Linked DNA regions of Sus scrofa. The protein of the gene in region 3 purifies or fractionates together with the protein of the main gene of each other region. This does not show direct contact. Links are inferred from orthologs where the notes say so. Each region holds a gene or a part of one and is shown on either strand. Other genes may lie near its edges. The genes, in order: EXOC3, EXOC7 and EXOC6.

Region 1 (3,650 bases), on a different chromosome or scaffold from region 3:
TGACTTTGTTATTTTTCAAGTTTTTTCTTTTTTTCTCTGAGTTTGGACTTTGCTGACTGCCAGGTGCCAGATGGGGGGCCTGTGTCCTGGGAAGCCCGCAGCTTGTGAGTCTGGGTCAGGACTCATACGCTCTCCAATTTTCAGATGTTCGAACAGAACCTTCAAGTCGCTGCTCAGATAAGTGAAGATTTGAAAACAAAGGTACTGGTTTTGTGTCTGCAGCAGATGAATTCTTTCTTAAGTAGGTATGTATTCTTGCCAGCGTGCTAACGCAGAAAGTATATTTTGTTTGTCTAATGAAGTGCAGAACTGTATTGTCCTGATCTGGCTGGTATTCAGAAAGGATAGTGTCTTGATTAAAAAATTCCGTGCGTAGGAACCCACGCAGCTCAAGCCCATGCTGCTCGGGGGTCCGCTGTGCTCCGCAGCACATCCCGGCCGTCATGGCGTTTCTTCCCGTGTTCTGTCCCGTGGGCACAGCGCCGGCGCCCTCGTAAAGCACTGATAGGCCTTCCACGGGGCCTCCTGATACTGGCTTGGGTTTGGGTTTTCCGTGGCCCCGGACCTACCTGTCTGTGGTGGTGCTCAGACCGGGCGGCGGAAGGGCGGCGTCCTGTGGTGCAGGGGAGCAGCCCCTCCGCATCAGGCCCCTGGCTTGTGGAGACACACGGATCAGCCTGGGCCCCTCTGCCCGCCTGCGAGGTTCCCCCGTATCTCCTCGCTGCCTCGCCGGAGCCCGGCCCAGGCAGGGTGCTCCGCATGCCTGCGAGGAGGCACGCGTCCCTTGTCCGGGCTGGTGGCTGGCTCTGACAGCCAGCCCTGCTGCCAGCCCACCTGCTTCCCCCCGTGGGGTCCACGGCCCGAGGCAGCCTCTTGTTGAGCATCTTCGGAGAAGCAGAAGTTTTCCTCTTGGGCCGCAGCTCTTGGCTCACCCAAACCGTGCTCTGCACAGGAGGCGGGATCGGTGCTCAGTTGTTGCCCTCGCGCCGCCTGCTCCCATGTGCTCCTTTCTTAAGGTCTGTTTAGGTCACACACGCTGTGTCCTACATTCTGCTCCTGTGTGTGCTCGAGAGGCTCATGGCACAGACAGAAACGCAGTCTGTAGCCTCTCCGTTGTTTGTTTTCATGATGTCTTAAAGAGTCTAGTGTATTTTTAGTTTGATTTCTTCGGGGAAAGTTCCCGAAAAGGACACTGTACCCCGGAGGTGACTGTGTTCCCCACGCTGTCGGACGAGTTTCCGGCAAGCCCCGGGCCGGGGAATGTGGTCCTTTACCCGCCCGCACAGATGTGCAGCGTGTCTGGAGCGTCGGAACACAGAGCCGTTCCACACGGCCTGACGTGAAGCTGGTTTAATGATCCGTTTCAAACGATCAGCTTCCGTCAGTGTGGCTCACACCCCACATAACTTTAGACTCATCTGGCCAGATGTTAGTGAGGCAGAATCATGCCTCAGGCACAGTGGTGGCGGCCCGTCGCGACGCCCCGGCGCGCCCGTGAGGCTGCTCTGATGCGGGCTGTGTCCCCAGGTACAAGGAGGAGGCGCAGCTGTACAAGGAGGAGCACCTGCGGAACCGCCAGCAGCCGCACTGCTACGTGCAGTACATGGTGGCCATCATCAACAACTGCCAGACCTTCAAGTGAGCGGCACGGGCGGAGGGGCCCGACCCTCTCCTCGCAGGGGGGCCATCGTCAGCCTCACCGGGCCCCGACCCCTCTTCTCGCAGGGGGGCCATCGTCAGCCTCACCGGGCCCCGACCCCTCTCCTCGCAGGAGGCCATCGTCAGCCTCACCGGGCCCCCATCCCCTCTCCTCGCAGGGAGTCCATAGTCAGTTTAAAAAGAAAGTATTTAAAACACGAAGCAGAAGAAGGCGCAGCTCTGAGCCAGCTGAGCATGGACGGGGTCCTGGACGCCATCGCCAAGGACGGCTGCAGCGGCTTGCTGGAGGAGGTCTTCCTGGACCTGGAGGTGGGCGCCTCCTCCTGCCCGCCCGCCCACCTCTGGGACACGGTGCTGTGGACCCCACAGGCTGGGTGGGCCCCCCGAGGCAGGGTCGAATCTCATCTGCAGTAAATGTTAGAGGCCTAAGCACCCAGTAGGTTAGAGTGGAAACAAGGACGTGGCAAGGGCCCGGTGACACGCATCAGCAAGCTCTTGATGCCAGAGCCGAACCGGGGACACATGCAGGCCTGTGCATGCCTCACGCAGAGCAAAGGCAGAAGCATGGTCGTTCTCAAAGCACATTCAGGTCGGATCAAAGGCTCAGTGTCCAGTGAGTGAGTGCGTTTGTTTCAGAAATGGCTCAAGGAGTTCCCGTCGTGGCGCAGCGGTTAACGAACCCGACTAGGAACCATGAGGTTGCGGGTTCGATCCCTGCCCCGGCTCAGTGGGTTAAGGATCCGGCGTTGCCGTGAGCTGTGGTGTAGGTTGCAGACGTGGCTCGGATCCCGAGTTGCTGTGGCTCTGGCGTAGGCCGGTGGCTACAGCTCCGATTAGACCCCTAGCCTGGGAACCTCCATATGCCACGGGAGTGGCCCCAAAAATAGCAAAAAGACAAAAAAAAAAAAAAAGAAAAAGAAATGGCTCAGCATTACATAGAGTTGGCAGGAGTCAGAACATATTTAAAAAACAGACTCATCATCACCTAGGGTCCTGCTGGGCTCCTGGGGTGATGGGGTCATTTCGTGATGTCTGTTACTTTCTCAGGAATGGATTAGGAAACAATTGAAATGTATGCTTTTAAAATCATCTCAAGATACCTTAAAAAGACTGCAACAGAGGTAGACAAAGGACGTGAACGTCTGTCTCACAGAAAAGGGTTCGGATACCCTCAGTACAAAACAAAAGGCCCCGTCTGATCTTGAAAGAACAGCAAGTTAAAACCGAGTAGTTTTGTTGCTTAGCAGGACAGCGCGGATTGAGAATGTTTCTTCTTGGTGTTGAGAGTGTGGGGATAGAGCCTCTCGTTCCCTTGTGGAACCGTGAATTGGTGCAGTTTTTGGAGGCAGTTGGGAAACGGTTATCAAGGTTTAGTCTGCATGCTTTAGACTGAGCAGCTCCACCTCTAGGGATTTCACTTGCAGAAATACACAGATTCAGCGCAGCTTTTTTTTTTTTTCTTTTTAGGGCCGTACTTGCAGCATATGGAAGTTCCCAGGCTAGGGGTTGAATCAGAGCTATAGCTGCCAGCCTACACCACGGCCACAGCCACTCAGGATCCGAGCCATGTCTGCGACCTACGCCACAGTTCAGGGCAATGCCCAGATGCTTAACCTGCTGAGCCACAGCAGGAACTCCCAGTGCAGCAGTGCAGCGTTCTTTATAATAGCAAAATGAGAACATTTAAATGTCCATCAGAATTGGGCACATAAACTACACAGCATCCACACAATAAACAGATGGAGTCCATTAGGAGAAAACGTACCTGCGGGTATCCACACCGGGTTTGTGCACACCTCCTATAAATTCCGCATCTGCAGAGTTTCTCTGCGTATCGAAGACACAGGAAGACGGGCTCTCTGTGCCTCGCGGGGACCTGACGGCACTTGGGGACAGTGTCAGGGCTGTTTTCTGTGGTCTCTGCTTTTTCAGCAACATCTCAATGAGCTGATGACAAAAAAGTGGCTGTTGGGATCGAACGCCGTAGACAT
Region 2 (3,650 bases), on a different chromosome or scaffold from region 3:
CCCTAGCCTGGGAACCTCCATATGCCATGGGCGCAGCCCTAAAGAAAACTGGACAATCCAAAAATGCAAACGAGCCTGGAGAAGTATGGATGCTGTGGTACATTTCAGCAGGTCCCAACAAGTGTATCCCAAGGAACCCCATGTGAAAAACGGACCAGTGCACAGAGGCTCTGGCCGAAGGGGGTTGAGGGGTCTGAAGGCGGCCACTGGCCTCTCTCTTATCCCAAGGGAGCTCCTGAAAAGCTCCCACGTGCCCTCGGCTCCCACGGAGCAGCTTGTGAGCCACAAATGTGACTGCGTGGTTAGGAGAGGCTGTCCTGAGACTCAGCAGCACGTTGCCCCAGCGGGAAGGCAGGGGCAGTGATGACACACTCTGACAACTTGGTATGTGTGCAATTTAACAGAGAGAAAAGGAGTTCCCATTGTGGCGCAGTGGAAACGAATCCGACTAGGAACCATGAGGTTGTGGGTTCGATCCCTGGCCTCGATCAATGGGTTAAGGATCCAGCGTTGCTATGGCTGTGGTGTAGGCTGGCAGCTACAGCTCTGATTAGACCCCTAGCCTGGGAACCTCCATATGCCGCGGGTGCGGCCCTATAGAGACAAAAGGCAAAAACAAAACAAAAAACAGAGAAAAGAAGAGTTTAGAGACTAAAAAGCTTAAAATTGAATATTCGTTAGAATTTTAGGGGTTTTGTTTCTGGTTTTGGCTGCACCTGTGGTATGTGGAAGTTCTGGGGCCAGGGACTGAACCCCCGCCACAGCAGTGACCCAAGCTGCTACAGTGACAACACTGGATCCTTAATTAACCACAAGAGAACTTCTGAGGTTTTGTTGTTGTTTTTTTTAAATTTTTGTTTAACTTGGGATTTTTTTTTTTAGAGTCTGGGACTGGCTAAAGAAATGATGGTACCACCACACCATGGAATATTATGCAACCGTTAAAAACAGTGAAGCAAATATACACGTAATGATATGGAAAATTCTCAAGGCATATCACTAAGTTAAAAACAAAAGCCAAAAAACCAGCATAGGACAGAGGATGGCATGTGCTCCTTCCCACCTGGGGATGAGGAGAGGAAACGCCACACACATACTCTCTGTGTCTGTCTGTCTGTCTGTCTGTCTCTCTCTCTCTCACACACACACACACACACAGAGCTGCATACCATTTTTCTGAAGGGTATAACTAATCTCAGCAGCACTCATCTTTGGTTTATGACACTGTAAGTATCAGGGAAGTGGGGAGGTGGACTTAACGCTTTTCACCTAAGCTTTGCTGTGCCGTTTGAATTTTTTTCCCCTCATTAAAGTTCCTGGGCCAGGGATTGAATCTGAGCTGCAGCCGCCACCTATGCCACAGCTGTGGCAACAATCGCTCTTTAGCCCACAGCACTGGGCTGCGGGTCGAACTTGTGCCTCCACAGCAATCCAAGCTGCTGCAGAGACAATGTTGGATCCGGGACCCCTGAGCCATAGCGGGACCTCCTGAAATTTTTATAATTAATCCAAAAAATTAAATAAATAGGAAAGTTAGGTATATGAAGAAATGCTTGGGGTGAGCTAGACTCTCAATTTGATACATAAGCTACAAATTTATTACTCATATTGCTTCCTACTGAACTCCTTTTTCTTCAAAGAAATGCAGGTGGATGAGAGACACCGACGGGAAAAGACCCCCTCCTCTGGCCCCGCGCGGGGCCCTGCTGCCCGGGCGTCTCACCTTGGTTGCGGCCGTATTCCACCAGCCAGCGGGCGATGCGGATCACGTCCTGCAGCACGCTCTCGGGCAGGTGCTCCAGGGGCACCTCGTCCGGCACCTCCAGGTCGTCCTCGCCACTGATCAGATCCAGGATGAGCACGGGCGACACGACCTTGCTGTGCCGGGTCATCAGGCTGCGGAACTCAGACTCCAGTGACTCCTTCCCCCGTTCAAACAGCAGCTTCTACGGGGTCAGGGAGGGAGGGAGGGAGGGCTGGGCTGCTGCTCCAGAGCTCAGCTGGACCTCGCCTCCCCACCCTCTCCCCTCGCCTTCCTGATCCTGGGCCTCGGCCCTCCCTGCCTGCACTTCCTTCTTGCCGGAGAAGAAATGCTGGGAAGCCTTCCTCGATCATTTCTTTCACCTTGTGTGCTCTTAAAATGTACACTCTCGGGTGAAACCCAGAGAGTTTTACAAGAAGGAGGTGCTTTACAAATATCAGCAGATGATTTTCTCGCTGCACCATTCATTTGTGTTCTTGCTTGAAAAGGTTTTACAGGGAGTTCCTGTCTTGGCGCAGCGGAAACGAATCCGACTAGGAACCGTGAGGTTGCGGGTTCGATCCCTGGCCTTGCTCAGTGGGTTAAGGATCCGGCATTGCTGTGAGCTATGGTGTAGGTCGCAGATGAGGCTCAGATCCCGCACTGCTGTGGCTGTGGTGTGGGCTGGCGGCCATAGCTCCGGTTGGACCCCTGGCCTTGGAACCTCCATGTGCCACAGGTGTAGCCCTAAAAAGACAAAAGACAAAAAAAAAGAAAAGGTTTTGCAGAAGAAGAAAAACAGATACACTGGACTATGTCAAGTTCAAAACTTTCATGCTGCAAATGATACCATGAAAAAAGTGAAAAGGGAGTTCCCATAGTGGCTCAGTGGTAAGGAATCTGACTAGTAACCATGAGGACACAGGTTCGATCCCCCACCTTGCTCAGTGGGTTAACGATCCGGCATTGCCGTGAGCTGTAGTGTAGGCTGGCAGCTGTAGCTTTAATTCGACCCCTGGCCTGGGGACTTACTTCCATGTGCCGCGGGGGTGGCCCTAAAAAGGGCAAAAAAAAAAAAGAAAAAAAAAGAAAAAGAAAAAGTGAAAAGTGAAAAGACAACCCATGGAATGAGAGAAAATGCTTGCAAATCGTGTATCTTATGGGAGACAGGTATCCAGGGCAGCTAAGAGACCTGGAAGCAGAAGTCCACACCACAGCAGGTGCTCAGGGTGCCATGCAACACTGTTCATGACAGCCCCAAAGGGGCGTGTCCACCAGCGAGGAACGGATGCATGAAACGTGGCAGATGCTTACACTGCAGCAGGATTCAGCCACACGATGAAAGGAGGCACTGACACAGGCCGCCACATGGAAGGACGTTGAAAGCACTCTGCTGAGTGAAGGCCAGACGGGAGAGGTCACGTATACTGCAGGCTTCCACTTACATGAGGTCCAAAGCAGGCAACATTTTCCAGCTGCATATGCTGGTTCCCAGGCTACGAGTCAAATGGGGGATACGGCTGCTGGCCTACCCCACAGCCACAGCGAGGTGGGACCTGAGCATCAGCATCCCACACCAGAAGTCCCGGCAATGCCGGATCCTCAACCCACCAAGCGAAGCCAGGGATCGAACCCGCATCCTCGTGGATGCTAGTCGGGTTTGTTAACTGCTGAGCCAGGAACAGGCAAATTTAGAGAGAGGAAATAGAGCAGTGATCATCAGAGGCTGGGTGGACGGGAGGGCAGGGAAGAAGAGTGACGGCCAGCGGGTTCTGGCTTTTGGGGGAGCGACGGGAACGTTGTAAAGTTTATTCTAGTGATGTCGCACAACTCTGCGATTACACGAGGACCAATGAATGTGATACTTTAAGGGGGCAAATTTCACGGTACGTGAATTCTATCTCAGTAG
Region 3 (3,650 bases):
CCTATACCACAGCTCACGGCAATGCGAGGTCCCTGACCTACTGAGCGAGGCCAGGGATTGAACCTGCATTCTCATGGATACTAGTCGGATTCATTTCCGCTGCACCACAAAGGGAACTCCAAGGCCTAAGTTCTTAATGATTGCTACCTTATATTACTATCTTTAGTGTTATGATAGGTATTCTTCCCTCAAGAAGCTTACAGTTTATGTGTAAAAATATATGACATATACTTGAAAAATTTAAGTTACAATGTGAAGTAATGTAATTTTATTGTATATTTTATTTATAATTTGTCAGAGGGAGTAGAAAGGACTATATGTTTACCTTTTCTATAGTTGAAAAGATTACTTGGTATGGAGATACTGAGAAAGTCCTGCTGGAAGAAATGGAACTTGAATTGAACCTCAAACAATGGGCAACAGATGGGGAGTCACATTTTTGGAGGGCCCCAAGGCTAGCTTCAGGTTCAGTAATTCACTAGGAGGACTCACAGAATTTACCAAAGTTGTTATACTCACAGTTACTGTTTGCTACAGCAAAAAGATACAGATTAAAATTAACAAGAGATGGCATATGAGGCAGGGTCTAGGAGAGTCCCACTGGGGAGCTTCCAGTTGTCCCTTCCCAGTGGAATCCGTGTGGGTAGCAATGATATGTGGCAACACTCATGGAGTATTACTAACCAGGGAGGCTCTCCTAAGCCATGATGTCCAGAGTTTTTACCAGAGGTTTGTCCCCTTGATGCCACTAAGTGGTTTGAGTTGCTCATCCAAATTTTCAGGCCCTCCAAAGCTGTTACCGTGTGGCTTGATGGCTCCACCTACTATAAATCACATTATAAGTCACATTGTTAGCTTTGACTGTTTGGCATTGCTCAAGACACCCAAGTAAAAAAGGCATCTGTCATGCAGAACATTCCAAAGGCTAGCCTCCCAGGAATTGGGGGCAAGGGCCAAACCTTTCTTTGGGCAAGGTTAATCCTTTACTGCATGGTGGGTGGAAAAGTCCCTCAGTGTAGAGACAGCATGAGCTGAGATACTGGAGGAGTGCAAATGCCGTGTTTATAGAAAACATTGTGGTGACTGCAGTATGGCCTTATACTTGAAATTATGAACTCTGCAGCCAGACTACTGGGATTCATATCCTGGCTGTTGTGACATTTATGATAGTTACATAATTTTAATCTTTCTGTAAATTAGTAAGGGTAGTAATAATTCATACATTATAGACTTTGTCAAGATTAAAGAGTTAATACATAAAACACTCAGAATATGTCCTGAGGAGTTCCCTGGTATCCTAGTGGTTAAGGACCTGGCATTGTCACTGCTGTGGTACGGGTTCTGTCCGTGGCCTGGGGACTTCTGCATGCGGTAGGCATGGTCAAAAAAAGAGAAAAGACTATGCCCTGATGCATAGTAAATGCTGTAGAAACCAGGAGTTTGTTTATGCATTCCTTAATTATTCACTTAGTGATTCCTTTTTTGAGTACTTGTAAATTGAAGACTCATCTCCTGAGTCTCAGACCTTTATTTCCAGATCCCTAGTGATGTGTCTAGAAGGCTTATGGCTCTTTAAATATTAACATGTTCAAAAAGAATTTAAGTATTTTCTACCCAAATTATTTCTACTCATGTCAGTGCTATCATTCTAGCTTATTCAGAGATTTTTTGTAAAGATTTGGGTTAATAAAGAGTAAATTTTGGTGAACTGGGAAGTTAATGTTAGCTTTCTTTTTGTATATATACAGGTCTGTGTATGATGACCAACCAAATGCACACAAGAAGTTTATGGAAAAGTTGGATGCTTGTATCCGTAATCATGACAAGGAAATTGAGAAGATGTGTAATTTTCATCATCAGGGTTTTGTAGATGCTATTACAGAACTTCTTAAAGTAAGAACTGATGCAGAAAAACTGAAGGTAAGAAATACCTTTTTACCTTTGCTCTCATTAAATTACTCAAGTATTAATTTATAGTGCATATTTACAAACATTATTAAATGTGCTAACTTCAAGAAGTGAATTCGTGTATATATTTGGGAATGCTCTGTTAACACAGTTGTCATGCTAATGACAGAAGTAATCTCTCTTTTCTTTGTAAAGCAAGTAATGCATTGACTCAACAGGATTTCTTTCCATGCAGGGGAATGAATTAAAAAAGTTCACACAGTGAAAGTCCTCATGTCATCAGGGTTCTAAAGTAACAATTAGTACAATATTGATAAAAAGTTATCTTCTGAAAATTTAAAAAAACTTACTGTATGTAATTGTGTTCTCAAAATTATTTAATAATAGTGAAACTTTAAATTTTTTTTCTTTATTTAATAGCAGCATATAATATTCTTAAAGTTGGTCTACATTTTCTTCCACATAGCAAAAACATTTATTGAATGAGACCTAGATTTGTTTTGTCAGAATACAAAATACTTAGTTATAAGAATTGTCCTATTTCTCTTTCTTTACATTTGGAGAGCTTAGCAGCAGAACGACCCTGGTTCACCAAAGGTTATGATTAGAAAACCATTATATAAAGGATATTCAGATAACAAGAGACCAAATACAGCATCAATGAGGTCACTGAGCATCTTTGTTCAGAAATTAATGAGATTTTTAATAAACCAGAATGTGCTTCCTTACTATGATGACCTAATGAGTCACTTAATATGTGGGAAAATTTGAGGTTGAGCTTTGCCTGCACCTGCAGCATTAAAATGTTGCTGTGGATTGAGATTTCCGTGTTTGATGTTAATCAACCACCCAGTGTTTGCATTCAGCAAAGTATGAATGTTTAATTACCATAAAATGCAATCACCATTTCCTACAGACAATGAATGGCACATAGACCTCATTGAAGTTATCAAAAAGGGACCAGTGGTCAATTGGGTCAGTGATTTGAATTGTTTGACAGACTTAGAGAAGCAAGTAAAGTTCAAAAATCTAGATTAAATTTGAGAAGTTTGCCACAGAATCTGTTAAAAAGAACTGTCATAAGTAATTGAAGTTAACAAAAGCCCTTTTCAATCAAAAGTTCAAGTTCAAGCTGTAGAGTTAATTTGAATTTGCATTTCTTTGTTCTAAGTTTCTCATGAAGCATGATCTGATTACAAGGGTGAGCAGTTACATCAGGGCAGTTTTATGCATATTTGTCTAACTAAGGTGAAATTATTTTTAAGGTGCAAGTTACTGATACCAACCGAAGATTTCAAGATGCTGGAAAGGAGGTGAGAAAATGATACCTTTTTTTGTGCATTCAATATGTGGATACAATTTAACTGTTCATTTTAAAATATGAATGTTTCTTCTTTTTAAAGGTCATTGTCCAAACGGAAGATATTATTCGATGTAGAATTCAGCAGAGGAATATTACAACTGTAGTAGAAAAATTACAGTTATGCCTTCCAGGTGAGTTTAACTTGTCTGTAATGTAACATTCAGCCTGGCTGAACTGTAATTTAATGATAGCAGTTTAATAATAACGAGATGGTCATTATTCATTATGATAGTTACAGATTACTTGGTGATTGTCCCCCTAAATCCCATGGTTTTCTTTCCTATCTACTTTATTCCCTGAATTTTCATGGCTTTCTTTATCATAAGGCCCCTATTTGATGATCTTACGTCAGTCTCCTAGAACAAACTCTGCCTTTCCA

The links.
Region 1: the proteins of EXOC6 (region 3) and EXOC3 purify together in Homo sapiens (affinity purification with mass spectrometry; 6 studies listed by BioGRID and IntAct, counting the BioPlex papers as one, with this or other methods). This does not show direct contact. The link is inferred for Sus scrofa from reciprocal best matches to the Homo sapiens genes EXOC6 and EXOC3.
Region 2: the proteins of EXOC6 (region 3) and EXOC7 purify together in Homo sapiens (affinity purification with mass spectrometry; 4 studies listed by BioGRID and IntAct, counting the BioPlex papers as one, with this or other methods). This does not show direct contact. The link is inferred for Sus scrofa from reciprocal best matches to the Homo sapiens genes EXOC6 and EXOC7.

Annotation. Positions count from the first base shown.
Region 1 is NC_010458.4:79,709,680-79,713,329, reverse strand, and holds part of EXOC3 (exocyst complex component 3), read left to right. Parts: intron 1-144; coding exon 145-245; intron 246-1,527; coding exon 1,528-1,638; intron 1,639-1,817; coding exon 1,818-1,968; intron 1,969-3,591; coding exon 3,592-3,650. UniProt on the Homo sapiens protein: Component of the exocyst complex involved in the docking of exocytic vesicles with fusion sites on the plasma membrane.
Region 2 is NC_010454.4:5,337,983-5,341,632, reverse strand, and holds part of EXOC7 (exocyst complex component 7), read right to left. Parts: intron 1,947-3,650; coding exon 1,724-1,946; intron 1-1,723. UniProt on the Homo sapiens protein: Component of the exocyst complex involved in the docking of exocytic vesicles with fusion sites on the plasma membrane.
Region 3 is NC_010456.5:104,382,306-104,385,955, forward strand, and holds part of EXOC6 (exocyst complex component 6), read left to right. Parts: intron 1-1,748; coding exon 1,749-1,920; intron 1,921-3,173; coding exon 3,174-3,221; intron 3,222-3,311; coding exon 3,312-3,402; intron 3,403-3,650. UniProt on the Homo sapiens protein: Component of the exocyst complex involved in the docking of exocytic vesicles with fusion sites on the plasma membrane.